Linked DNA regions of Saccharomyces cerevisiae S288C. The protein of the gene in region 2 binds, or shares a complex with, the protein of the main gene of each other region. Each region holds a gene or a part of one and is shown on either strand. Other genes may lie near its edges. The genes, in order: RAD3, SSL2, TFB1 and TFB5. A codon is read from its position in the direction of its gene.

Evidence for each region.
Region 1: SSL2 (region 2) and RAD3 share a complex: the UniProt entries of both Saccharomyces cerevisiae proteins name them as parts of the 7-subunit TFIIH core complex.
Region 3: SSL2 (region 2) and TFB1 share a complex: the UniProt entries of both Saccharomyces cerevisiae proteins name them as parts of the 7-subunit TFIIH core complex.
Region 4: the proteins of SSL2 (region 2) and TFB5 are in contact, whole or in part, in a cryo-EM structure (PDB 7K01), measured with the Saccharomyces cerevisiae proteins. Residues at the interface, in NP_012123.1 of Saccharomyces cerevisiae: Met561 (codon at 1,352), Ala563 (codon at 1,346), Tyr569 (codon at 1,328), Leu570 (codon at 1,325), Tyr717 (codon at 884), Tyr718 (codon at 881); in NP_076886.3 of Saccharomyces cerevisiae: Asp13 (codon at 821), Ser15 (codon at 815), Ile16 (codon at 812), Asn61 (codon at 677), Ile62 (codon at 674), Met66 (codon at 662), Asp67 (codon at 659).

What each region holds. Positions count from the first base shown.
Region 1 is NC_001137.3:525,269-533,770, forward strand, and holds RAD3 (TFIIH/NER complex ATP-dependent 5'-3' DNA helicase subunit RAD3), read left to right. Parts: upstream 1-1,813; coding exon 1,814-4,150; downstream 4,151-8,502. Other genes in the region: RPH1 (Rph1p), read left to right, coding at 1-491; adenylate kinase ADK2, read left to right, coding at 706-1,383; ATP-dependent RNA helicase BRR2, read right to left, coding at 4,262-8,502. UniProt on the Saccharomyces cerevisiae protein: ATP-dependent 5'-3' DNA helicase.
Region 2 is NC_001141.2:80,010-88,718, forward strand, and holds SSL2 (TFIIH/NER complex ATPase/helicase subunit SSL2), read right to left. Parts: upstream 3,033-8,709; coding exon 501-3,032; downstream 1-500. Other genes in the region: kinetochore-associated Ndc80 complex subunit NDC80, read left to right, coding at 1-140; chaperonin-containing T-complex subunit CCT2, read left to right, coding at 3,293-4,876; AXL2 (Axl2p), read left to right, coding at 5,357-7,828; REV7 (Rev7p), read right to left, coding at 7,970-8,707. UniProt on the Saccharomyces cerevisiae protein: ATP-dependent DNA translocase. Component of the general transcription and DNA repair factor IIH (TFIIH) core complex. When complexed to CDK-activating kinase (CAK), involved in RNA transcription by RNA polymerase II.
Region 3 is NC_001136.10:1,081,443-1,089,489, reverse strand, and holds TFB1 (TFIIH/NER complex subunit TFB1), read right to left. Parts: upstream 4,426-8,047; coding exon 2,497-4,425; downstream 1-2,496. Other genes in the region: PIB1 (phosphatidylinositol-3-phosphate-binding ubiquitin-protein ligase), read left to right, coding at 1-271; SSF2 (rRNA-binding ribosome biosynthesis protein), read right to left, coding at 548-1,909; SUM1 (Sum1p), read left to right, coding at 5,174-8,047. UniProt on the Saccharomyces cerevisiae protein: Component of the general transcription and DNA repair factor IIH (TFIIH) core complex, which is involved in general and transcription-coupled nucleotide excision repair (NER) of damaged DNA and, when complexed to TFIIK, in RNA transcription by RNA polymerase II.
Region 4 is NC_001136.10:602,955-605,547, forward strand, and holds TFB5 (TFIIH complex subunit TFB5), read right to left. Parts: upstream 858-2,593; coding exon 639-857; downstream 1-638. Other genes in the region: PET100 (Pet100p), read left to right, coding at 110-445; VPS41 (Vps41p), read left to right, coding at 1,054-2,593. UniProt on the Saccharomyces cerevisiae protein: Component of the general transcription and DNA repair factor IIH (TFIIH) core complex, which is involved in general and transcription-coupled nucleotide excision repair (NER) of damaged DNA and, when complexed to TFIIK, in RNA transcription by RNA polymerase II.

The DNA.
Region 1 (8,502 bases), on a different chromosome or scaffold from region 2:
CGCACCCTGAAAGACCAAATCACAAGACAGCAAATAGAATACTCAAAAAGGAATCTCCTGTCGAGACATCAAAATCAAATCTTATACTTTCAAAGGTTGCATCCACTCGCCAAGAGGATTCTTTTACAAGCCGAAATGACGATCTGGACAAAGAACAAGGCTCTTCTCCATTAAACTCTAAGTTTGCGCCCGAAGAAATCGTGTTATCAGGTAAGAACAAGATTTATATTTGTAAGGAATGCCAAAGAAAGTTCTCTTCTGGTCACCATCTTACAAGACACAAAAAATCCGTCCACTCTGGTGAGAAACCTCATTCTTGTCCCAAATGTGGCAAAAGATTTAAAAGGAGAGATCACGTTCTGCAGCACTTGAATAAGAAAATACCGTGTATTTCAAACGAAACAACAGTAGATGCTCCAATAATGAACCCTACAGTGCAACCGCAGGACGGGAAAGCGGCCATTAATCAACAGAGTACACCTTTAAACTGACTCACGATTGCCAGTTGTTTACCGAGATCTCTCATTTTGAAGGCTCTTAAAATGTGCTCGGTCGGCCGGGAATTCGCGAAAACCCACATTCACTAATAAATACCATTACAATAACCATCATTATATAGATACACATGTGTAGAAAAGGATAATATACGTATATATATTTGTTTGTAAATCTTTAAATTTTCAGGAACAGGGTTAGCAAGCATCAATGAAAGCAGACGCGAAACAAATAACACATCTACTCAAACCTCTTCGACTTTTATTATTGGGGGCTCCAGGGTCAGGTAAAGGGACACAGACTTCGAGATTACTAAAGCAAATTCCACAATTATCTTCAATTTCGTCAGGCGACATTTTACGTCAGGAAATAAAATCTGAATCTACCCTAGGCCGAGAGGCTACTACCTACATTGCTCAAGGCAAGTTATTACCGGATGATCTCATAACGCGTCTGATAACTTTTCGTCTTTCGGCATTGGGTTGGTTAAAACCATCTGCCATGTGGTTGCTCGATGGATTTCCTCGAACTACTGCGCAAGCTTCTGCCTTAGACGAGCTGCTGAAACAGCATGACGCCAGCTTGAATCTAGTGGTAGAGCTAGATGTACCCGAATCCACCATATTAGAAAGGATCGAGAACAGATATGTTCACGTTCCTAGTGGGAGAGTGTATAACTTACAATATAATCCTCCCAAAGTGCCAGGATTAGACGATATCACCGGAGAACCATTGACCAAGAGGCTTGATGACACAGCGGAAGTGTTTAAAAAAAGGCTAGAAGAGTACAAGAAAACAAATGAGCCTTTAAAAGATTATTACAAAAAAAGTGGGATTTTTGGTACCGTCTCTGGGGAAACATCAGATATTATCTTCCGAAATTATTGAACCTTATAACCAGCAAATTCGGCTAATAGGGTGATTTAACGCTACACTAACTGCAAGTATATGTTAACCTTCCCCGAGACTTTGAAAAACCGTGACTCTAGTTGGAAGTCAGCATCTCGTCAACCAAATGATTACAGTTCACTTTGAATATTCTGAATAGCCTTTATGATATGAGTTAATCCTATATTAATCATGGCCGACGGCATTTAAGCGATGTATATGAAATTTATGAAAAATTAAAGTAGCGTACTTTATGCTACATAGCTTTTGAAAAGAAATCTCTGGTCTGTAAATAATAAATAAATATATATATATGTATATCTTAAAGTTGACAAAGTACTGTTAGCCATTCATAGAAATACTATATTTCATCTTGGGTTGAAGGTGATAATCGGCCCGATTTGACTACACTTTAAGAAGATTGGAAACAATGAAGTTTTATATAGATGATTTACCAGTGCTTTTTCCATACCCCAAGATATATCCAGAGCAGTATAATTATATGTGCGATATTAAAAAGACTCTGGATGTAGGTGGAAATAGTATCTTGGAGATGCCTTCAGGAACAGGTAAAACGGTCTCATTACTATCCCTCACAATTGCCTACCAGATGCACTACCCAGAACATAGAAAGATCATATATTGTTCTCGTACTATGTCTGAAATTGAAAAAGCTTTAGTAGAGTTAGAGAACCTTATGGATTACAGAACTAAAGAACTAGGCTATCAAGAGGATTTTCGAGGTCTTGGCTTGACATCAAGAAAAAATTTGTGTTTGCATCCCGAAGTGAGTAAGGAACGAAAAGGTACAGTAGTCGATGAAAAGTGCCGTAGAATGACAAATGGGCAGGCGAAGAGAAAATTAGAAGAGGATCCAGAGGCAAATGTAGAATTGTGTGAATACCATGAGAATTTGTACAATATTGAAGTAGAGGATTATCTTCCAAAAGGCGTATTTTCTTTTGAAAAACTTTTGAAATACTGCGAAGAAAAAACACTTTGTCCATATTTTATTGTTCGTCGTATGATTTCTCTTTGTAACATTATTATTTATTCTTACCATTATCTATTAGATCCTAAAATTGCTGAAAGAGTTTCCAACGAGGTTTCTAAAGATAGCATTGTCATTTTTGATGAAGCGCACAATATTGATAATGTGTGTATCGAATCGCTGTCATTAGACTTGACAACGGATGCATTGAGAAGAGCCACACGAGGTGCTAATGCGTTAGATGAACGTATTTCTGAGGTCAGAAAGGTTGACTCACAGAAATTACAGGATGAATACGAAAAACTAGTTCAAGGTCTCCATTCTGCAGATATTCTTACCGACCAGGAAGAGCCATTTGTGGAAACACCTGTATTGCCCCAAGATCTTCTAACAGAAGCAATCCCGGGAAATATACGAAGAGCCGAGCATTTTGTTTCATTTTTGAAAAGATTGATAGAATATCTGAAGACCAGAATGAAAGTTCTTCACGTTATTTCAGAAACGCCAAAATCATTTCTACAGCATTTAAAACAGTTAACTTTCATAGAAAGGAAACCTCTTCGGTTTTGCTCAGAAAGGCTATCATTACTTGTAAGAACTTTAGAAGTTACAGAGGTAGAAGATTTTACTGCATTGAAAGACATAGCAACTTTTGCTACTCTTATATCAACATATGAGGAAGGGTTTTTACTAATTATTGAACCGTATGAAATCGAAAATGCTGCAGTTCCGAATCCGATTATGAGATTTACTTGCTTAGATGCATCGATTGCCATCAAACCAGTCTTTGAGAGATTTTCTTCCGTTATTATCACTTCAGGGACCATATCACCATTAGACATGTATCCAAGAATGTTAAACTTTAAAACTGTTTTACAAAAATCATATGCCATGACCTTAGCCAAAAAATCATTTCTACCAATGATTATTACCAAGGGTTCTGATCAAGTTGCAATTTCTTCAAGATTTGAAATCAGAAACGATCCTAGTATTGTTCGTAATTACGGTTCTATGCTAGTAGAGTTTGCCAAGATCACACCTGATGGAATGGTTGTTTTTTTCCCCTCATATCTATATATGGAAAGTATTGTTTCAATGTGGCAAACAATGGGTATTCTTGACGAAGTTTGGAAACATAAATTAATTTTAGTTGAGACTCCTGATGCTCAAGAAACTTCTTTAGCCTTAGAAACCTATAGAAAGGCTTGCTCAAATGGGCGTGGGGCAATTTTGCTTTCTGTTGCTAGAGGAAAGGTATCTGAAGGTATCGATTTTGATCATCAATATGGCAGAACTGTGCTGATGATAGGTATCCCGTTTCAATACACAGAATCGCGTATTTTGAAAGCTCGCCTAGAATTCATGAGGGAGAACTATCGCATCAGAGAAAACGACTTCTTATCTTTCGATGCGATGAGACATGCAGCTCAATGTCTGGGGAGAGTACTGAGAGGGAAGGACGACTATGGTGTAATGGTACTAGCAGACCGTAGGTTTTCAAGAAAAAGAAGCCAGTTACCAAAATGGATTGCTCAAGGTTTGTCTGACGCCGATTTGAACCTTTCGACTGACATGGCCATATCCAATACCAAACAATTCTTGAGAACAATGGCACAACCCACAGACCCTAAAGACCAAGAGGGTGTATCTGTTTGGAGTTATGAAGATTTAATAAAGCACCAGAATAGCAGAAAAGATCAAGGTGGATTTATTGAAAACGAAAACAAAGAAGGAGAACAGGATGAAGATGAAGATGAAGATATAGAAATGCAGTGATGCAATGATACGCTTTTGCTATAAACTGTATATATCACAATTAGATTAAATAGCCGCAAGAGAATGTTATATATTGAAATCCATTCGATTATCCAGGACTAAACAATGATTTTATTTCACATTTATTTCAAAGGACAACTCTTTATCTGCGTCAAGATATGAATCACAGACACACCAAATTGTTAAGTTATGTTTACCAGATGTCGGAGTGTCAAATTCCAATTCATATTGCTGAGTCTCTTTATTTAAAGTAACTTTCTTGATCGCATAAAGCTCTTTTTTAGATACTTCACCTAAAACCAACCACCAACTTTCTAGCTTATCAAACGGATACTTTTCAGATGTTACTTGTAAGTTCTCAGGTTCAACATCTCTTGTCAATTGAATGGTAATTTTCTGTTTTACACCTGAAATTAACGAATCAGAATTATTCAACGAATAAGTAAGTTCAACGTTGGGGTAATTGTTAACAAACGCGGCGACCTGCGCAAGCTGTGAATCAGTAAGCGTTAAAATTTCATCCCTCTCTTCATCCTCAAGGGCCATTATATCATAGACCGTCTCGACGTTAATTTCTTTACATTTTTCCAAAATTTTGTTGTTGAAGTGTGGAATCTGTCTCAACGGATTATCAACGTCCCATACACCCTGAATCAACATCTGCGCCAAATCCATGGCGGTAGTAGCATTCAAATACCCGTTTGCTGAAAGGATATCAACCACTACGTTAATTAGTGGAACAACCTTTTCTAGAATGTCTTTTAAATCATTTTGAAAGTCGACAGGTAATTCAAGACGTGAAAAATATGCTTGTAACAATAAGAAAACTTTAAAGCTCACCGAACCAGAAGAGGTGTGTTCAGGGAATCTCAATGGTAGTCTTTTACTTAATTTGACAAGTAATGCTCTGTCTCCTTTTCTGAGTGGAACACTTTCGAATTCTACTGCTGTTGAAAGAACATACAGCATGTTTTTGAGCGTTGACGTATTCGATAAAGAAGAAACGAATGACTGAATAGTAAAAAATGATACGCCATAGTGAGAAGCAATTAGCCCGTTGCTCAAGGTAGAAATGATTTCAGTTGCTTCATCATCTCCTCCATTAACTTCTGCGGTTACTTCAGCTTCTGTATCGTCAATTTCAATGAAGGATGATTCAACTAAGTCATTCAAACAAGTTTCAACTAAATTACTCAAAAAAACTGAAATTCCATGTGGAGACGTATCCCTTACGCCATAATAGCTTGGATTCACATGGATACGACGATAGAAATACGAATATGTAAACCAGTCAACACAATCTTGTTTGCTTTGTATAATAGAATTTGCTATCTCGTTGTTCAGAGTATCATGAATAATATACTGTAGGTAACTCTCAGTAGGCAAAGGCTCAATTAAGAATTTTTTGTAGTAGGCCTTCATGTTGTGACTTGTCAAAATTAAAACCTTGCCTGCCATTGAATCGTTACCACTAGCTAGTCCCACCATTTCTAGAAGTTCATTTATGGTATATGGCATATATTTATGCTCTGCACCATCATAAAGGTTGGTTCCTAAAATAATCACTTCATCAGTTTTACAAGCGAATGCAGAACAATCCTTAGAAATGAGTAAAACCGATACCGCACCATATTCGTATAACCTTTTCACAATTCTTTCATCATTTGATGCCATCCCCTTATACAAAATACCAACACCGTGTTTTAAAGGTGCTCTTAGATGACCATCTGTTAACTTTTCAATGTATGGTACAATTTGCTCTTCTTCAACGTTCAACATATCCCATTCAATTGCTTTTGAAAACTTCATAAATGCAGACGCAACTTCCATACAATCCTTTCTAGATGGTAAGAACACCGAACTGGAATTACGATTTCCCGCTGCAGCAGCAGATGCTTCAAATGCCATTTGAAGCATCGAAAAATTGAATGATATGTGCTCAACATCTTTAAATGACTGAATATTAATTTCAAGAGGCTCAATTCTTTCGCTTGGAGAAAAGTTGTAGATGTTTGACTTCGTCATACCAGCCCATTCACCAAAATCACGAGCATTTGCCAAACAGTTCGAAAGGCAAACAAATCGAATTTTCTTTTCAAGTTGGGTTGCTATAAATATCATTCTAGAAATTAGCGTTTCATACACAGCACCGTAAACACCTTGGCTAATCTCATGAGCGTCATCATATATCATTAATTCTAAACTTTGGATGTTCTTCCTTTGTCTCCAACGACGTGACAAAAGCTCAAATTGCACGGGGGTAGCCAAGAGAACATGGCTTTTTGCTAATAATTTTAAATTTAGTGAAGGATCATTTCCTAGCTTATTTATTATCTTACCACCAGCAAGATGAGAGAACCTTTTATTCCAATCAGATAGCAAAAAATCAATTTTTTCCCCAGACGGATTGATATAAACCGCTCTTCCTTTATTCTGTCTCCAATGATTTAACAGTGCTAATTCAGCCATAGCTGTTTTACCTGTGCCCTTTCCTGAACCTACAAAGACCGAGTCATTCGAATTGTAGAGAGACTCGAAGACCTGGCTCTGAATCTTGTTGAAAGTTTTAAATTCAAATACTTCGGAAAAATCATCATTGCCAAGCTCTGATGTTGAAATACTAATATTCTCCAGAAGGGGAGTAGGAGGAGGAAATTTTTTCGGAAGTTTAAATCCATTGAAGGAAACTGGAATCTCGAATTCACTGTGCCACCAATTTTCTGATATCAAAGTAAGGAAGAAATTAGGTGGTAAGTTATTTTGATTGTGCTGCTTTAACTCATAAGTAAAGGATAAGGTAAATTCATGACCAACTATATCTGGAGTGATGAATAGTACGTCATAATAAAGTATTGAATCACCATCAGTGTCTTCTAGCATGAGCAAAAAAGGTTCAAGGGAACCGTGTACATTCATATCCCATATCCAGTCGGCTATTATTTCAATGTTGAACCTCATAACGCTACGGGTAATTGGCTGAGCGTTGCATGTTACGGACATTTTGGGAAATCTTTTCAATAAATCGTAAACCTGTTTTCCATATTTTTCAGATCTGATTGCACGACCAACTTCGGCAGGTGTTTCTAGCTGTAGATAATCTCCCCACGGTACTGTAGAGGCTTCCAGCCTTTTAATCACTTCGACAGGGCATGTTTTAAACTGTCTTAAAGGACAGTTTGTTGGCCACATTTTAGTTGTGGCAGATTTGCAAAGATTTAACAACATCCGTGTGGGATGTCCCCATCCTCTCTTCAAGCATATTTCAAACATAGCACGCAATAACCTACCAGCATTTTGGTGAATAAACACTATATCAGAATTAAGTGCAAAACCTTCGAACTTTAGCTGGGAAAAATAAGACTGCAGTAGTACATTCACTTTTGCTAAAGGATCATCAATATCTTCTCTGATAGGAATGGGTGCTTTCTCTAGAAGTTGTTTTAGTTCTCTTTTCTCTTCATATCTCACCGATACGTACTTAAACTCTTCCGACATTGAGAATATTCTAAAAAGATCAATCTGAGTTGTATGTTCATCTAACTCTCTATTGTAAACATCCATGGAAGCATGATTTATGTAAAATGACGACGCTATATTTCCTAGATCGGTCGCCTCAATTACATCATTTTCAGCATCATATAACACCAACTCTTGTTCTTTTAAAATGCATAGGGCCGAATGGACTAAGCTTTCTCTAAACTTTTTCAATTGCCCATCACTTGAAATATCAGGTACTTTGTAAAGCATAGGGGAAGCTAACATTCTGACATATAGGTAAGTATACGCCAACCAATTCACAGCATCATTCCTGCACTTAATGTTACCCGCGACAACTTCTGCATTTAAGTTGTCAACTAATTTTGAAACAAATTGCGATTCTATTGGTAATTGTTGATTTAAAACCGAGAGATAATATTGAACATTCGATTGGTCTGTTATTATAATACCCTCGCCAAATGTGTCATATCTCGGTCTGCCTGCTCTACCTAACATTTGAAGTACATCTTGTGGAGAAAGTTGTTCCCAGGACCCCTTTTCAGGTGAATAGACATCTGTTCCTTTTATAATCACTGTATGAGCAGGTAGATTAACACCCCATGCTAACGTCGCAGTGCATACCAATACTTGCAACAACCCGTCTGCAAATAAATCTTCAGATAAGGATCTGTCACTTCTGGTCAGCCCTGCGTGATGCGTCCCTATACCGCTTTCAATCAACTTTCGTAGACTTGGATCGAGTACGTTGGCTGCTTCTGTCTTTAAAATCTGCTTCGATCCTGCATCATTTTTGGTTAATTTATGAGTAATGTTCTCTTCAGCAAATTTATTTTTCAACCATGTTGCTGTTCGTG
Region 2 (8,709 bases):
TGATACATGTTATTGATATAACAAGTAAATTTAAAATTAATATTCAATCGTCATTGGAAAACTCTGAAAACGAATTAGGAAACGTCATTGAAGAGTTACGAAATTTGGAGTTTGAAACTGAACATAACGTAACAAATTAATAAAATAAATGATATATAATACCCGAGCAATCTACAGCAAAGCTCAGCCCCACCTTTCCGCATTTTAATAACCTGCATTTTGTTCAATTCCACCCTCACTCCCCTTCTCAAGTATTCCAAACCAATTTAAGTAAGTATTGATATGTAGTTATTTTTAAAATAAATATATGTAAGTATATTTGGATGCTTTAATTAGGAATGTTCTATTTTTTTTTTATTTTTTATATTATGGAAGAAAATGGACGTGACGAATCAATAAAAGAAAGAACAGCGACGAAAGAATAAGAAGACGGTGGGAACAAAAAGGTATTATGACTGAATAGATTCAAAATAGGAAGGTGACAATGAAACCAAGCCTATTCACTTCTTCAAATTCTTATAATACATCTTTCTGATTAATGGATGATGTTCCTTCAGTTCTTTGTTTTTATTGGTACTGTATTCCATATATGCCATATCTTCACCGCCAGCAAGACCAGACAATGAACCTTCACCTCTAACGGCCTTTGATTTAAATCTTTTGTGGCCATTTGAACCTCTCCCAACAGAATTGTCAGCGTCATCACCGACCTCGATACCAGCAGCTTCTTCGTTCTTCAATAATACTTCTTGCAATAGCTCTCTACGTTCTCTGGGTGAAGCATATGCCAAATTTGGAATGTTCTCCATTCCGTGTAAATGTGTAATGACTTTGAATGCGTAACCTTGATCTACCAAAAACGCTTGTCTCTTTGTTGAGTAGTACATTTCTTGCGTATCCTTAGAAACCAGAGAATAAAAGAACGCATTGAAACCTTCGTCATTACGTCTTTTAGCTCTTAAAATTCTTCCTAATCTTTGGGCTTCTTGACGACGAGACCCATAGTGCGAAGATATTTGAATTAAACAGGTAGCTTCTGGTAAATCGATGGAAGTATCACCAACTTTTGATAGAAATATGGTATTGATTTGGTCATTGTACTGGAAATTTTGCAGAATGTTCATACGCTCTTGTTGTGGTGTGGAACCATAAATAAATGGTTTTCCCATTTTCAAAGCATATTCTTGTAAGGCGTAAACATTATCTGAAAAAACGATGATCTTATCACCCCTCCTTTCGTGATATTGAATTAAGAATTGGCATGCCTGAAACTTTGTTGGATTCATGATATACAGTAGCATTCTTTTCCTTGCAGTTTCTCTTAAATACTCTTGGTAAAATTCTGCTGTCATGGGACACCAAACCTCTGCACATTGGACATTTGCAATATGTCCTTTTTGGGATAATTCCATCCAATTTGCTTCATAAAGTTTTGGACCAATTAAAAAATTCAGATCACCAATTTTATCATCTTCTCTAACCAGCGTTGCGGTCAGTCCCAATTTGGCGTGTGCTGCGATGGTGGAGACCACCCTACGGAACATTGCGGCGGGCACCACATGAACTTCGTCAAGAATAATGAACCCCCATTCCCTACCGGTCAAGAAATCCATAACTTTTTGTGAATCATGAGACCTGTTTCTTGTGTTTGCCACCATTGAATAAGTGGAAACAACCAAACCGGATTCTGTCTGGAACATTTCCTTATTATCAGAGGTGAAAACAGCACAATTTTCAGGTTGTAAGGTACACCATTGTAAAAATTGCTGCCTCCATTGCATGACGGAGACTGATGAAGTACATAAAACAATTACGGATTTTTTTATAGTACATGCTGCGGTAATACCGACCAAAGTTTTACCTGCGCCACATGGCAAAACAATAATCCCTGAACGAGCACGCCCATTACCAAACATTTTACTCAGCGATTTTTCTTGATAGGGTCTGATTTGAGTGGAAGGTTTCAAATCAATATCTAAATCCGGGTTTCTATGGTCGTTTCTAAAGTCGTATTCTTCCAACACGGGATAATCGATTTCTTGACATCTTTTCTTTACGACTTCAACAGACTCATTGGCAATTTCAAAGGAGTGAACGGCATCAATATCATCATCTTCTTCTTCCCGCTCATTATCACCACCTATAACTGCACTAAACACGGCTTCCACATCGTTCGGATTAACATTAGTAGCGGGTTTTCCAGCGGTTTGCTGAAGTTGTTGCTGTAGTACATCCTCTGGTGGCTGTACTTGATGATCGCTATCTATTCTTAGGGGCCCGATGACGGAATCATTCAGCAACATTTGCAGAATATCTGCTTGTGTAGTCTCCACGAAATATCTATTATGCTTAATAACTAGTTTCACTTTACCGTATGAAATGGTAGCCCCTTTAATGAAGTTGATTATCGATTCAGCAACGGGTACTTTGGATAATCTATCCAGAACTGAAATGATATCATCCGTCTCCAACCCTACAGAAACAGCTGCATACAAAGAGTATGCTGTGATCTTGTATTCATGAATATGGGAGGGTCTACTTATAGGCTCTGCAATGGTGACCAGAAAGTCCTGAGCCTGTTCTGCTAATGGAGAGAAACTCTCCAGAATGATCCTACCGTCACTTGGCGAGATCCAAAGGGGCCTGGAAGCATGGTCTGGTCTTAACCGCAAATAACTAAAGTCATGGCTTCTGAACATTCCAGAGACGGAATCTGGAACGAAATCTGCTGGTATATCGCTATTAGTGTCCTGCAAAAGCGCTTTATCCTTAGCGTCCATTTGATTCATAGAGGAATCCGCCGCTGTATGCCTGCTACTCTTGGTCTTTTTCCGAGGCTTCTTCAACCCTGTTACCATGGCGCCGGTATCCCTTTCTCCACGTCCTTCTGACGTTTCCCTGTTATCATCATAGTTCTCATCGATCTCTGCATCAGTAGCTGGTGAATCCTCATCTGATGAGAAAAAGGACTCACCCATATCTGGAAAGATTTTCCCCTTGCTCTTAGGTTGGTAGCCTTCAACGTCCGTCATGATTTATCTTCCACTGATTCCAACGTCAGTAGATGCTACTTTTACTAAATAATGTAGATATCATTACTATTATCTATCCTTACTAAGGACCTTTTTCCTTATACTTCTTAGAAGAAAAACCTCGTTTCTAACGATCTGAAATTTTTTTCTCTTCGCGGTGGCGAGTTTAAAAGACAAGAGCAGAGCAATAAAAAAGAGGATGAAAGGTGGCCATTAAATAGGCAAGAAGAGTCAGTCGTACAAAGCTCAAAAGATTCAGGATGAGTGTACAGATATTTGGAGACCAGGTTACAGAAGAAAGAGCGGAAAACGCCCGTTTGTCGGCGTTTGTCGGTGCCATTGCCGTGGGTGATTTGGTGAAAAGCACATTAGGCCCAAAAGGGATGGATAAATTATTGCAAAGTGCGTCCAGTAACACTTGCATGGTAACAAACGATGGTGCTACGATTCTGAAGTCAATTCCGCTGGATAATCCCGCAGCCAAAGTGTTGGTGAACATCAGTAAGGTGCAGGATGACGAAGTTGGAGATGGTACCACTAGTGTTACTGTTTTGAGCGCAGAGTTGCTTAGAGAAGCAGAGAAGTTGATTGATCAATCCAAAATCCACCCTCAAACTATTATTGAAGGTTACCGACTAGCTTCAGCAGCCGCATTGGATGCGTTAACGAAAGCGGCTGTTGACAACTCTCATGATAAGACCATGTTCCGTGAAGATCTGATCCATATTGCCAAGACTACTTTATCTTCCAAAATTTTGTCTCAGGATAAGGATCACTTCGCAGAATTAGCAACTAATGCTATTTTGAGATTGAAGGGCTCCACTAACTTAGAACATATTCAGATCATTAAGATTCTTGGTGGAAAGCTATCAGATTCGTTCCTTGACGAAGGTTTCATTCTTGCCAAAAAATTTGGTAACAACCAACCCAAGAGAATTGAAAATGCTAAGATTCTAATCGCCAATACAACTTTGGATACAGACAAGGTCAAAATATTCGGCACCAAATTCAAAGTCGATTCTACTGCTAAATTGGCACAACTAGAAAAGGCAGAACGTGAAAAGATGAAGAATAAAATTGCCAAGATTTCCAAGTTTGGTATCAACACTTTCATCAATAGACAACTAATTTATGACTATCCAGAGCAATTATTTACAGATTTGGGCATAAACTCAATTGAGCATGCTGATTTTGAAGGTGTAGAAAGGCTCGCCCTGGTTACAGGCGGTGAGGTGGTGTCTACATTTGACGAGCCAAGTAAATGCAAACTGGGAGAATGTGACGTGATCGAGGAAATTATGCTTGGTGAACAGCCATTCTTGAAGTTTAGTGGTTGCAAAGCTGGTGAAGCTTGTACCATCGTCCTAAGAGGTGCTACCGACCAAACGCTTGATGAAGCTGAGAGATCCCTGCATGACGCATTGTCCGTGTTGTCACAGACCACAAAGGAAACAAGAACTGTTCTTGGCGGCGGTTGCGCCGAGATGGTCATGTCAAAAGCTGTGGACACCGAAGCTCAAAACATCGACGGAAAGAAGTCCCTTGCCGTGGAGGCTTTTGCCCGTGCTCTGAGACAACTGCCAACCATTTTGGCAGATAATGCTGGTTTTGACAGCAGCGAACTTGTGTCCAAACTAAGATCCTCCATATACAACGGTATCTCCACCTCAGGTTTAGATCTCAACAACGGAACCATTGCCGACATGAGACAGTTAGGTATCGTCGAGAGTTACAAGCTAAAACGAGCAGTAGTCAGCTCTGCATCTGAAGCCGCTGAAGTTCTACTAAGGGTGGATAACATCATCCGTGCAAGACCAAGAACCGCCAATAGACAACATATGTAACATATTTAGGATATACCTCGAAAATAATAAACCGCCACACTGTCATTATTATAATTAGAAACAGAACGCAAAAATTATCCACTATATAATTCAAAGACGCGAAAAAAAAAGAACAACGCGTCATAGAACTTTTGGCAATTCGCGTCACAAATAAATTTTGGCAACTTATGTTTCCTCTTCGAGCAGTACTCGAGCCCTGTCTCAAGAATGTAATAATACCCATCGTAGGTATGGTTAAAGATAGCATCTCCACAACCTCAAAGCTCCTTGCCGAGAGTCGCCCTCCTTTGTCGAGTAATTTTCACTTTTCATATGAGAACTTATTTTCTTATTCTTTACTCTCACATCCTGTAGTGATTGACACTGCAACAGCCACCATCACTAGAAGAACAGAACAATTACTTAATAGAAAAATTATATCTTCCTCGAAACGATTTCCTGCTTCCAACATCTACGTATATCAAGAAGCATTCACTTACCATGACACAGCTTCAGATTTCATTATTGCTGACAGCTACTATATCACTACTCCATCTAGTAGTGGCCACGCCCTATGAGGCATATCCTATCGGAAAACAATACCCCCCAGTGGCAAGAGTCAATGAATCGTTTACATTTCAAATTTCCAATGATACCTATAAATCGTCTGTAGACAAGACAGCTCAAATAACATACAATTGCTTCGACTTACCGAGCTGGCTTTCGTTTGACTCTAGTTCTAGAACGTTCTCAGGTGAACCTTCTTCTGACTTACTATCTGATGCGAACACCACGTTGTATTTCAATGTAATACTCGAGGGTACGGACTCTGCCGACAGCACGTCTTTGAACAATACATACCAATTTGTTGTTACAAACCGTCCATCCATCTCGCTATCGTCAGATTTCAATCTATTGGCGTTGTTAAAAAACTATGGTTATACTAACGGCAAAAACGCTCTGAAACTAGATCCTAATGAAGTCTTCAACGTGACTTTTGACCGTTCAATGTTCACTAACGAAGAATCCATTGTGTCGTATTACGGACGTTCTCAGTTGTATAATGCGCCGTTACCCAATTGGCTGTTCTTCGATTCTGGCGAGTTGAAGTTTACTGGGACGGCACCGGTGATAAACTCGGCGATTGCTCCAGAAACAAGCTACAGTTTTGTCATCATCGCTACAGACATTGAAGGATTTTCTGCCGTTGAGGTAGAATTCGAATTAGTCATCGGGGCTCACCAGTTAACTACCTCTATTCAAAATAGTTTGATAATCAACGTTACTGACACAGGTAACGTTTCATATGACTTACCTCTAAACTATGTTTATCTCGATGACGATCCTATTTCTTCTGATAAATTGGGTTCTATAAACTTATTGGATGCTCCAGACTGGGTGGCATTAGATAATGCTACCATTTCCGGGTCTGTCCCAGATGAATTACTCGGTAAGAACTCCAATCCTGCCAATTTTTCTGTGTCCATTTATGATACTTATGGTGATGTGATTTATTTCAACTTCGAAGTTGTCTCCACAACGGATTTGTTTGCCATTAGTTCTCTTCCCAATATTAACGCTACAAGGGGTGAATGGTTCTCCTACTATTTTTTGCCTTCTCAGTTTACAGACTACGTGAATACAAACGTTTCATTAGAGTTTACTAATTCAAGCCAAGACCATGACTGGGTGAAATTCCAATCATCTAATTTAACATTAGCTGGAGAAGTGCCCAAGAATTTCGACAAGCTTTCATTAGGTTTGAAAGCGAACCAAGGTTCACAATCTCAAGAGCTATATTTTAACATCATTGGCATGGATTCAAAGATAACTCACTCAAACCACAGTGCGAATGCAACGTCCACAAGAAGTTCTCACCACTCCACCTCAACAAGTTCTTACACATCTTCTACTTACACTGCAAAAATTTCTTCTACCTCCGCTGCTGCTACTTCTTCTGCTCCAGCAGCGCTGCCAGCAGCCAATAAAACTTCATCTCACAATAAAAAAGCAGTAGCAATTGCGTGCGGTGTTGCTATCCCATTAGGCGTTATCCTAGTAGCTCTCATTTGCTTCCTAATATTCTGGAGACGCAGAAGGGAAAATCCAGACGATGAAAACTTACCGCATGCTATTAGTGGACCTGATTTGAATAATCCTGCAAATAAACCAAATCAAGAAAACGCTACACCTTTGAACAACCCCTTTGATGATGATGCTTCCTCGTACGATGATACTTCAATAGCAAGAAGATTGGCTGCTTTGAACACTTTGAAATTGGATAACCACTCTGCCACTGAATCTGATATTTCCAGCGTGGATGAAAAGAGAGATTCTCTATCAGGTATGAATACATACAATGATCAGTTCCAATCCCAAAGTAAAGAAGAATTATTAGCAAAACCCCCAGTACAGCCTCCAGAGAGCCCGTTCTTTGACCCACAGAATAGGTCTTCTTCTGTGTATATGGATAGTGAACCAGCAGTAAATAAATCCTGGCGATATACTGGCAACCTGTCACCAGTCTCTGATATTGTCAGAGACAGTTACGGATCACAAAAAACTGTTGATACAGAAAAACTTTTCGATTTAGAAGCACCAGAGAAGGAAAAACGTACGTCAAGGGATGTCACTATGTCTTCACTGGACCCTTGGAACAGCAATATTAGCCCTTCTCCCGTAAGAAAATCAGTAACACCATCACCATATAACGTAACGAAGCATCGTAACCGCCACTTACAAAATATTCAAGACTCTCAAAGCGGTAAAAACGGAATCACTCCCACAACAATGTCAACTTCATCTTCTGACGATTTTGTTCCGGTTAAAGATGGTGAAAATTTTTGCTGGGTCCATAGCATGGAACCAGACAGAAGACCAAGTAAGAAAAGGTTAGTAGATTTTTCAAATAAGAGTAATGTCAATGTTGGTCAAGTTAAGGACATTCACGGACGCATCCCAGAAATGCTGTGATTATACGCAACGATATTTTGCTTAATTTTATTTTCCTGTTTTATTTTTTATTAGTGGTTTACAGATACCCTATATTTTATTTAGTTTTTATACTTAGAGACATTTAATTTTAATTCCATTCTTCAAATTTCATTTTTGCACTTAAAACAAAGATCCAAAAATGCTCTCGCCCTCTTCATATTGAGAATACACTCCATTCAAAATTTTGTCGTCACCGCTGATTAATTTTTCACTAAACTGATGAATAATCAAAGGCCCCACGTCAGAACCGACTAAAGAAGTGAGTTTTATTTTAGGAGGTTGAAAACCATTATTGTCTGGTAAATTTTCATCTTCTTGACATTTAACCCAGTTTGAATCCCTTTCAATTTCTGCTTTTTCCTCCAAACTATCGACCCTCCTGTTTCTGTCCAACTTATGTCCTAGTTCCAATTCGATCGCATTAATAACTGCTTCAAATGTTATTGTGTCATCGTTGACTTTAGGTAATTTCTCCAAATGCATAATCAAACTATTTAAGGAAGATCGGAATTCGTCGAACACTTCAGTTTCCGTAATGATCTGATCGTCTTTATCCACATGTTGTAATTCACTAAAATCTAAAACGTATTTTTCAATGCATAAATCGTTCTTTTTATTAATAATGCAGATGGAAAATCTGTAAACGTGCGTTAATTTAGAAAGAACATCCAGTATAAGTTCTTCTATATAGTCAATTAAAGCAGGATGCCTATTAATGGGAACGAACTGCGGCAAGTTGAATGACTGGTAAGTAGTGTAGTCGAATGACTGAGGTGGGTATACATTTCTATAAAATAAAATCAAATTAATGTAGCATTTTAAGTATACCCTCAGCCACTTCTCTACCCATCTATTCATAA
Region 3 (8,047 bases), on a different chromosome or scaffold from region 2:
CGTAAAAGAAAGCCCTGCCTTTCAAAATAGAATGTTAGTGTACAAGATATCGCCTAATACAACAGATAATGCAATTAAGGAGTGCCCGATTTGTTTTGAGAATATGGAACCCGGTGAGAAAGTTGGGAGACTAGAATGCTTGTGTGTTTTCCATTATAAGTGTATTAAGAACTGGTTTCACAAAAGGGCGCAAATGACTGCAGCCCAGAAGGGAAATGGACATGCTTTTGTTAAAAGGAACTTTTGTCCTTTCCATGATGCCGTATTTTAACGATAACTCCCAATTTGCTTTTCATTACAAAGTTTAATTTTTCAGCTGTTAATAATCGAAGTTTTAACTTCCCTTTTCTTTTATTTTTTTCTTTAATTGTAAAAGATTTCTATATATTTGTTTAATTATGATCTTATATATTCATTAATATTTACTTTGAGGTGTTCCCTCACCTATGAATAAACAGACACTTCCTGGTTCTTTAAGTCCATCGGAGTCATGGCTACTATATGGATAGTGATGTTACGTACGGAGGATATATATACATATCGTGCATTATTCTACTTCACTGAATAAGTCACTATCCAAATCCTCTGGTACATCACTATAATGCTCATCTTCACTCGATGAAGATCCATCATCGCTCATTGCACCATCTTTCCCTTGACCTTCACCCTGTTCTTCTGCTCTAGCTTTTCTTCTTTCCAATTTACGTTGCTTTTTAGCATCTTTAACAGCCTTTTTTTTAGCAATGTTTTCTTCTTGTTCCTTTCTTCTTTGTTCCTTCAGCCTCATTTTTGCAGCGTGTCTCTTTTCTAAGGCTTTGATTTCTTCGCTTGATTTTTGAACAAATTCATGATGTAATACTTTACCTGAACAAATACCATCTTCTATTTTGACCAGTTTTAGAGTTAATCTTGGTCCTAATTCAGTCAGTTTGATAGCCTTCTTACGTGGAGTTGGTTGCGAATTTTCTGAAGGCTTAGGTTCCTCCATTTCCACATCTTCTTCTTCAATTCCTTTTTCACGTTCTTCGTTATCTGTCATTTTAACGGGTGTTTTTTGCGACAGCGAAGTTTGAGAATGTTTTGCCTTCACGTCCTGATTATCAACCACTCTCACAATAGCGTCATCTTCAATTTCAGATTCTGATGTATAGGCGCCTAAGTCATGATCTAATATCAAAGAAGAAATATCTTCTTTTCGATGCAAATTCGGCACTGTTTTACTTAGATTATTTTTGGCTTTATAAAGCCTTTTTAGATTTCTAGAGATCTCTACTTCTCGAATGTCAATAAAATAGTGGCGCATAGAAATTTCCCCCGTTTCTCTGTCTTTATTGATCATAAATATACGTTTGATAGAATTCAACGAAGTTCTTGCAGGATTCAGAGGTGGGAAAATATTCTGGAACATGGAAACAATAACCTTCTCCACGTTTACATCCTGATCGTCTTCATCAGATCTTTTCGATGTGGAAAACCCATTTAACACTAGCAATGGAGGATTTAATACATCATCATTATTTAACGATTTAGGTCTCTTCAAAAATTTTTTGATATCTCTACCCAGTGAATAGTCCAATACTTGAAAAGTAACAGTAGGACCTTGTGGAGTTCTAGCTATCTTTAGCGAGACATTTCCTGTTTTTTCAGATTGAGTGAACATGAAAAGATGCGTAACACCTAATGGGCCACACATAACAACAAAATCCTTCAGTTTATTGGACTTGCGCTCTTTTAGTTTTACGGCCGTATGCGGTTGCATGATCTGGCGAAAATCCTTTACTAATTGGTTTAGAGAATGGTTAGCCAATGAAGTTTGTCCCACTCTGATTACCATGGATTTAGGAATATCTCGTTCCTGCTCGGGTGTGATCTGCGCATGCGTTCTCTTTTTCTGCCTTCTTTTAGCCATTAGTTCCAAAATATCTAAGGTATGTGCGGGATGGTGACCTAGCAGCTGCAATTTAGTCGAATATTAGCTAGACTAGTTTATTTTGCCTATTTAATATCATTCATACAAGCCCGTCGATGAGATGCATCTACACTAAAAAATTGCAAAATCGTCCAAGATGATAGATAATGACTGAACTAACAGTCTGGAGTATTGCAAGTGCTTAGGTCTGTTTGGCAAAATTTTTGAAAATATTACTGAACCATTAGCAAGCTGTAATAGAACTAAAGCACCATTACTGATTTATTTTGACGAATCGTTTGCTAATTTTCAGCCACATCACATGCTGAAATATTTCCCGTTTGTTTCTTGTTTGTTTCACAAGCCATTCGCGCGCGTTTTCACGTTAAATGTTTTATTTACACGCACGGCTGCATCAGTGCAGCACAGCGTTAATCGAGTCCCGCGTTTTTCTATTGTTTACATAGAGACTAAAGACCAAAAAGGAAGAATACACACAATTAAGTTTTATGTAATATGTAACATGCAGTAAATAGATGAAAAATATGAATGTAAAAAGTGGTAACAACTGGAGAGCCTTTATATTTCTAGTTCGAATTGTTGTTATATTCGTTGAAGTACTCATCGTACTTATGAGTAGCCAAAGTAATGGAGTTCAAAACTGGCTTCAAATAGGCGGTACATGTGTTTGACATAGATTCACCATCACCATTAAGGACGTCTTGAAATAGCTCATTCAGCTTTTCAATACAGTCCTTCAAATGATTATAAAGTTTTTTGACGGTACTGGCTTGCTTTTGTTCACCGCTCTGAAAATGAATATAAAAGTGCTTTAGAAATTCACAGCACGTTGTGTGTAGCATTCTACAACTTTCTAATAGGTCTATTGGTAGGGTACTTTTCACCTCTAATTCATTTGCTTGAGAAGTGTTGTCGACAAAAGAGCCGAGTGCTGAATTAACATTGTTATGCTTAGCCTGTTTGGCGTTAATCTTGATTGCAGTTATGACTCTTTTATTGATCTTGTTGCTGACTTCGTTGTTAGGAACTACTTGGTTCAAGTCTAGCTTATTAATTAAATTATCCATGACCAATGACAACTGTTGTAACATTTGTTGATTAGAAACCTTCAAATCTGCATTCTTTATCGAGTCTGCCGAGCTTTTCGCATCGTTGTCGGTTGTCTTTTCATGTGCGTTCCTTTTCAGATGTATGATTGCATAGTTTGTCTTGTAGCTTTCGTTTAAGTCATCGATTTTCAGTTCATTTCTTTCATCATTATCTTCATCTTCCTCATCGTTTGTAATATTAGATTTGTTCTGTAGATTTGTCCTTGAATACTCATTCTTCAAAGCCATAATCATTTTTTCACTCAATCTATTCATACCCTTTAAGATGTCCACGGTACCATCGCTATTACCATTAATATCCACACCTGGCTGCATAGTGAAGTCGGGCCTGTTGCCTCGTACAACTGGGTCGTCCTGTATGTTACCATCTAAATCTATAATTTTTTTCACAGGATGCAATAGCATGTCATCATCTTTTCTGTCGAACTCTTGATCCAATGTCAAGTACCTGTCAATGATTACGTCACCTCTATCATTTTGCATGATCTTTTCACCCCTTAATTTTCTGAATAACTTCGAAGAGAAGAACCTTGCCCAGAACTCTGGTTCTTTGAAATTTTTGGGCACATTATCAGTGTAAGCTTTCTTTACAATTGGATAGTTCTCAAAAATATTCAAAATTTTTTCTCTTGACAAATTAACATTGACTTTGTTTTCCGATGAAGCCACCGGCTTGATAGTTGACAAAACGTTGTAAGGCCCAACTTTTTGAGAAGTAGATAAGGCAAAAGCCCTCAATAACGGAATTCTAGTTGACCAAAATTCAGATGGAGGCAAACCGGCGTTAATGACTGTTTCCTGAAAAACCTTCATTAGAACTTTGTTTCCTTTCAGTAAAGATTGCTGTAGCTTTAAATTGGTCAACAATTTTTCTTTAGAGAGAGAATCATCTAGTTTGGCTGTATTAATCAACGGAGCCCCATTATTCAATTGTGGTGTATCGAGATGTGGTGTGGGAGTCCCTGCAGTAACAGAAGAAGAGCTCATTGGTGTTTCTGTGTGTTGCGCAGACTCCTCTCTTCTTCTCTTTTCTTCGTAGATATCTGCATCTTTATACCGTGAGATGATTTGTTGAAGGGTCATCTTGATATTATCCATAACTGTTCTATTGTTAAACGAAAACATATGACGTTGCGGTTTGGGCACAACCTCATTTCCTTCGTTGTCTTTTCTCTTTTTTGACTCATCCACTTTCCCGATTAGCCTCAACATCATTTTTTCACTGGAAGCAGGGGTAGCTTGTAACTTGTCAATAGTGGATAAGACAACTGTGTGAACCTTGTCACCGTCCGTAGACCTCCATGTCAATTCTGCGGGTGAAACATCCTCATTTATGGCAATTATCCCAGAAACTTTCTCAAAAATGGCAGCTCCGGAATGTGACATTATGGTTTACTTTTATTTTTTCCCTACCCCTACCCTAGGTTAAATATTATTACTTTCACTGGGAAAGCTTATTATGCTAAATTTCAGTATTGTCTAAAAATTGCGTCAAAAACGAGCAGCCTTATCATGTCCCACGGGTTGTGGCTTTTCTAGTTTACTGTCGAATCATACTATCATTTTTAAAGATTGGTTTCCATTTTCGTTAGACCGATATCCATTACTTACACTCCTTTCATATCTTTCCCACGTGGCCTTAACTACGTTTACTAATACTTACTATGTAAGTCACAATTTCCATTAATTTGCGTCGTTCAACAAGATAAATTGCTGTAATTATATGACTGCGACGCGACGGCGACGTCAAATTTTTTTTTTTTTTCCTGAATGGAAAAGGGAAAGGACAACAAATGATGGCAAAATATTTCAGTTTGGATTCACAAGTTCTCCACTTGCATCCGCTATAGATAGCCACACTTGTTTCATTCAGCGCTTGTGATACCACGATTGTATCATTACTAGTGGCTTTAATTTTTTTTTTTTTTTCATCTATCCTTTTAATACCATTTGTGTTTGAAATAAACTGCTAAAAGAATTATACACAGGCATATTTTATCAAAAGTGTCAGCAAACAGAGCACAAGGGACTTGTTTAAAGTAGCTAAGTATCATAAAAATTTAGTCGCTAGTGGTATTATTGAGATCAAACGAAAAGTTTCATACATAATTAACAAAATTCGTTTGTTGCGGGGATGTCTGAGAACACCACAGCCCCTTCTGATAACATAACCAATGAACAGAGACTTCCGTCTGGACCCAAAGATGACGTAGATACGTTAGCACTTACCAGTGCTCAAAATCAAGCTAATAGTTTGAGGAAGCTAGATACAGATGCGAACGCTAAAGCTTTGCCATCCATCACAGACATACCAGTCAGTGATGATTCTGATATAAAACGACAAGTTGGCTCTGGTTTTGGTTCAAATCCGCTTCATATAAAAGATTCCGAGGCCTTTCCACATTCATCTATTGAAGCCCTAAAAGAGGGTATGGACAAAGTCACAAAACAATGCAACGATTTGAAGACGGCTTTGCTTTCCAAAGACACTTCCCTCACTGATTCTGTGCAGGATTTGTTTAACTCATTAAAAGTTTTATCACACAACCAATCAGTTTTGGAAAATAAGCTGGATGATGTCATGAAGAATCAAGTAAATACTGACATATTGGTCAATAATTTGAATGAACGATTGAACAAATTATCGACAATGTTGCAAAATACTTCGAAAGTAAATCACTCTAACCTTCTCATAGAAAATTCATCCAACAATACCAGTTCACAGCATAATACCTCTTCTTCTCGAAGGGGACCTGGCAGGCCAAGAAAAGATGCCTCGACCTCCACAATGAATAAGTTAGTGTCAAACGCAGCCTCGGTCAATCTCAAAAGTGCATCCAATCAGGGTGCTCCTTTCTCACCAGTAAATATTACTTTACCGACTGCCGTAGTACAAACGTCTAAATCCAAAAGGTATTTTGTGGAACCATCAACGAAACAAGAGTCGCTTTTATTATCTGCCCCTTCATCATCAAGAGATGATGCTGATATGTCCTTGACTTCCGTACCGCAAAGAACGAACAATGAAAATGGTAAAGAGCGACCATCCACTGCTAATTCTAGCTCCATCACACCAACACCTGTTACGCCGAACAACTTAATTCAAATCAAAAGAAAAAGAGGCAGGCCCCCAAAAAAGAGAACAGTGGAAACAATGATATCCAATTCCACGGATACGATAGATAAGTCAGATGCATCTAATCGGATTAAAAACGAGATTCCAATAAATTCCTTGCTTCCATCTTCCAAATTTCATCAAATACCATCATCTCCATCCAATCCTGTGTCACAACCGGCTCCGGTTCGGACTTCAAGGTCAGCCACACAAGAAATAGACATTAAAAGTTTAGAACTGGCCTCTCTAATTTCAACTAATGGTGATCCAAACGCAGAGGATTCGAATACTACTGATACTGTTCATAATAACGTGGAAGGAAAGGTAAATGTTGAAGAAAATAAAACCGAGAAGGAGAAAATAATAACCATCAAATCATCCAGCGAAAATAGTGGTAATAATACGACCAATAATAATAATACTGACAACGTCATTAAATTTTCAGCTAATTCAGATATCAATAGTGATATTCGCCGATTAATGGTTAACGATCAGTTTTCATTAAGTTATGACGCCAGCGGTAATATTACGGTCAAATTACCACCCGTTTCCTCTCCAGCAGCAGCAACAGCTGCCGCTGCTGCGGCGGTTACGTCAGAGATGAATAGACAACAAAGAGAATTAGATAAAAGACGTGATTCAAGGGAGAAAATGCTTGTTAATATGAAATATAACGATCGCGATAAAGCAAAGTCATTTATGGAGTCTAATAAGAAACTCTTAAAAGCAATGAAAGAAGAAGAGAGGAGGAAAAGAATGACTTCGATAATACATGATAATCACTTGAACTTAAATTTGAATGAGATCTCCACCCGTTCAAAGATAAAAAGTGCAGAAAAACCAACAACTAAAGGTTCTTCAATGTCGCCAAAACCAAGATCGGCCTCCATCAGCGGCATTTCAGACCACCAACAGGAAGGATATCAACCATTAGAGCAAGAAAAACTCGTCGATATTGACAATGAGGGCTCAAACGCAAACAGCGACTCTCTCAAGATGGGTCTAACCATATCCGCTGCCGATACGGTTCACAAAGTTGGAATACAGTCCATGCTAAATTCTGGGGAAGAGGCAATTACCAAGGAGAATGCAGAATATGAAAGAAAGACCCCGGGAGATGAAGAAACTACCACGTTCGTTCCATTAGAAAACTCACAACCTTCGGACACGATAAGGAAAAGAACAGCAGGCGATGACGGTGCATTGGATCAAACAGAGAATACGAGCATATCACCAAAGAAGAGACGCACAGAAGATCATACAAAAGGTGAAGAAGATGAGGGAGAAAGGGGTGTTGGTAATAGCGGAACGCTGGCCACCGTGGAGAATGTCTCAGGAGACATCTCCGCAGATTTATCCAAAGGTACTTCATCTATCCATAACGATACTGAGTCTGCTAACGATAGTAGCAATGGCAACGGAAACCTCGGTTTGGGTACAGAGTCACGCAATACATTGTTAACGGCAACTCCCATTGAATTAATCTGCCGGGAAGGCTTCTTCTACCGGAGAGATATTCCGGACGTTCCCATTACCACAGGAGCGTACCTGGAATTTAAATTCAAGGCGAAAGAAGAGGAATTGATCAACTCTAGCATCAATGAGGAGGATTATGCTGCTAAATCAAAGCATGAAAAAATGAATGCGCATTTCTTCAAGCCTGATATTCAAGAAGAGACGGAACTTGCCTTTGAAATTTTGAGCAAGACAACGCTGACAGAGAAATACGTTAACAGTTTGGAGTACTTCTTGATGGAATTCAGGTGGGAGAATAAACTAGTTGGTCTAGGCTTAAAACTTCGGGAATCCAAAAGAACCTGGCAAAGGAGAAAGGCGTTATTTGCCCTTTTCGAATTTTGGAGAGACCAATCAAGAGACAAAAGAAGATTCCAC
Region 4 (2,593 bases), on a different chromosome or scaffold from region 2:
TTTTTTCCCGTATAATTCCAATATATCAGCGCATCTTGCTGATATTTTCTGTTCTATAACAATTTAATAAGGGCTGACAAACAAAAGTAATCACTTCGACAAGTACAAAATGGGTCTATTTAATAACTTCAAGTTTAAATATACAAGGGCGCAACTGGAGATCTTTAGATTTTCATTTTGTTTGCTAGCACCTGTTGCTGTAATGTACTATATTGGTACAGATACTGATAAAAAATTAAATGTTCCAGGGTTTTGGCCAGATCCTGCAACGTTGAACCAAATACCAAAAGAGCCTTATGAGATTAAAGCTGAACTGGCAAGGATGAAAAAAGAACGTTTAGAGAAAAGGCTTAGGTTGGAGAAAAAGATACAAGAGGAGTTTGGTTTAGACCTTGAGGAGGAAAAAGAAAAAATTAAACGGGATTTGGCTCTCAAAAAAGGATGAGAAAAGAAAACGGTTAAAGATGTATACTTGCACCTGACCACTTTTTCTTCCTTATATTTATTATTCTAACATGTACATACCTGTATAGTCGTATTTCCACTAGATCATCACTTCCCCTCTATATTCATGTCTGACCTGGTTATGCAGGTCATGCTCTATTCAAATAGTATTGAAAAAGCTGAATGAGCAATAATTACTGATTTTCTTCTTCATCCATAGGATTATATATATTCTTAGATAATAGCCTATTTAGCTCATGCTTAACAAATTCGACTTTCGAGGGATTTACTAAAAGATGGGTGTCATCCAACTCCTCTAGTACTATATCACTCATCTTGGCGTCAATTTGTAATATGAGCGCCTTGATGGATGGATCACATTGAACCAGTGCACCCTTTCTTGCTCTAGCCATTTTTTCGTTCTTTTACAAAAGTATCTTGGCTTTGTCTCTATTGGGAGTACACTTCTATCTTACTGCAGTTTGCTCGTCTTTTTTCAATAATACGATACAAAAGAAAAATTAAAAGGGCTATTGAGACTGTTGTAAAATATATATGCAAAATAAAAAAGCATTTTAACGAAGAGTATATACCTACTATTAGACATTAATGACTACAGATAATCATCAGAATGATTCTGTTTTGGATCAACAATCAGGCGAACGAACAATTGATGAGAGTAATTCCATCTCTGACGAGAATAATGTTGATAATAAGAGGGAAGACGTTAATGTAACTTCACCAACAAAAAGTGTTAGTTGCATATCACAAGCGGAAAATGGAGTAGCTTCTCGAACAGATGAGAGTACAATAACAGGAAGTGCGACGGATGCAGAAACAGGTGATGATGATGATGATGATGATGATGACGATGATGAAGATGAGGATGACGAAGATGAGCCCCCCTTATTGAAGTACACACGAATTAGTCAACTCCCGAAGAACTTTTTTCAACGAGACTCGATCTCTTCATGTTTATTTGGTGATACTTTTTTTGCATTTGGTACACACTCAGGCATTCTACACTTAACTACATGCGCGTTCGAACCCATTAAAACCATCAAATGCCATAGATCTTCGATACTTTGTATTAACACTGACGGAAAATATTTTGCTACGGGATCTATTGACGGGACAGTGATTATCGGATCGATGGATGATCCACAAAACATTACACAATACGATTTCAAAAGACCTATAAACTCTGTAGCGTTGCACTCAAATTTTCAAGCATCCAGAATGTTTGTTTCTGGTGGAATGGCTGGCGACGTTGTACTATCTCAGAGAAATTGGCTAGGAAATAGAATCGACATCGTTTTAAACAAGAAGAAAAAGAAAAAAACAAGAAAAGATGACCTATCCTCTGATATGAAGGGCCCTATCATGGGAATTTATACTATGGGTGACCTTATATTATGGATGGATGATGATGGAATAACATTTTGCGATGTTCCTACAAGATCACAGCTTTTGAATATTCCATTCCCCTCCAGAATTTTTAACGTACAGGATGTAAGGCCAGATCTATTTAGACCCCATGTTCATTTTTTAGAAAGTGATCGTGTCGTTATCGGATGGGGATCTAATATTTGGCTATTTAAAGTTTCCTTTACCAAGGATTCAAATTCGATCAAATCCGGTGACTCTAATTCTCAAAGTAATAATATGAGTCATTTTAACCCTACGACAAACATCGGATCTCTCTTGTCTAGTGCTGCATCGAGTTTTAGAGGGACACCTGATAAGAAAGTTGAATTAGAATGCCATTTTACTGTGTCAATGTTGATTACAGGGCTTGCATCGTTTAAGGATGATCAGTTATTATGCCTAGGTTTTGATATAGATATTGAAGAGGAAGCAACCATAGATGAAGATATGAAGGAGGGGAAGAATTTTAGCAAGCGGCCAGAAAACTTATTAGCCAAAGGGAATGCTCCAGAATTAAAAATTGTTGATCTTTTTAATGGTGATGAAATCTATAATGATGAAGTTATCATGAAAAACTATGAAAAATTGTCTATAAATGATTATCACCTCGGTAAACATATAGATAAAACAACACCAGAATACTATTTGATAAGTTCCAACGATGCCATCAGGGTTCAAGAGTTATCATTGAAGGATCATTTCGATTGGTTTATGGAAAGAA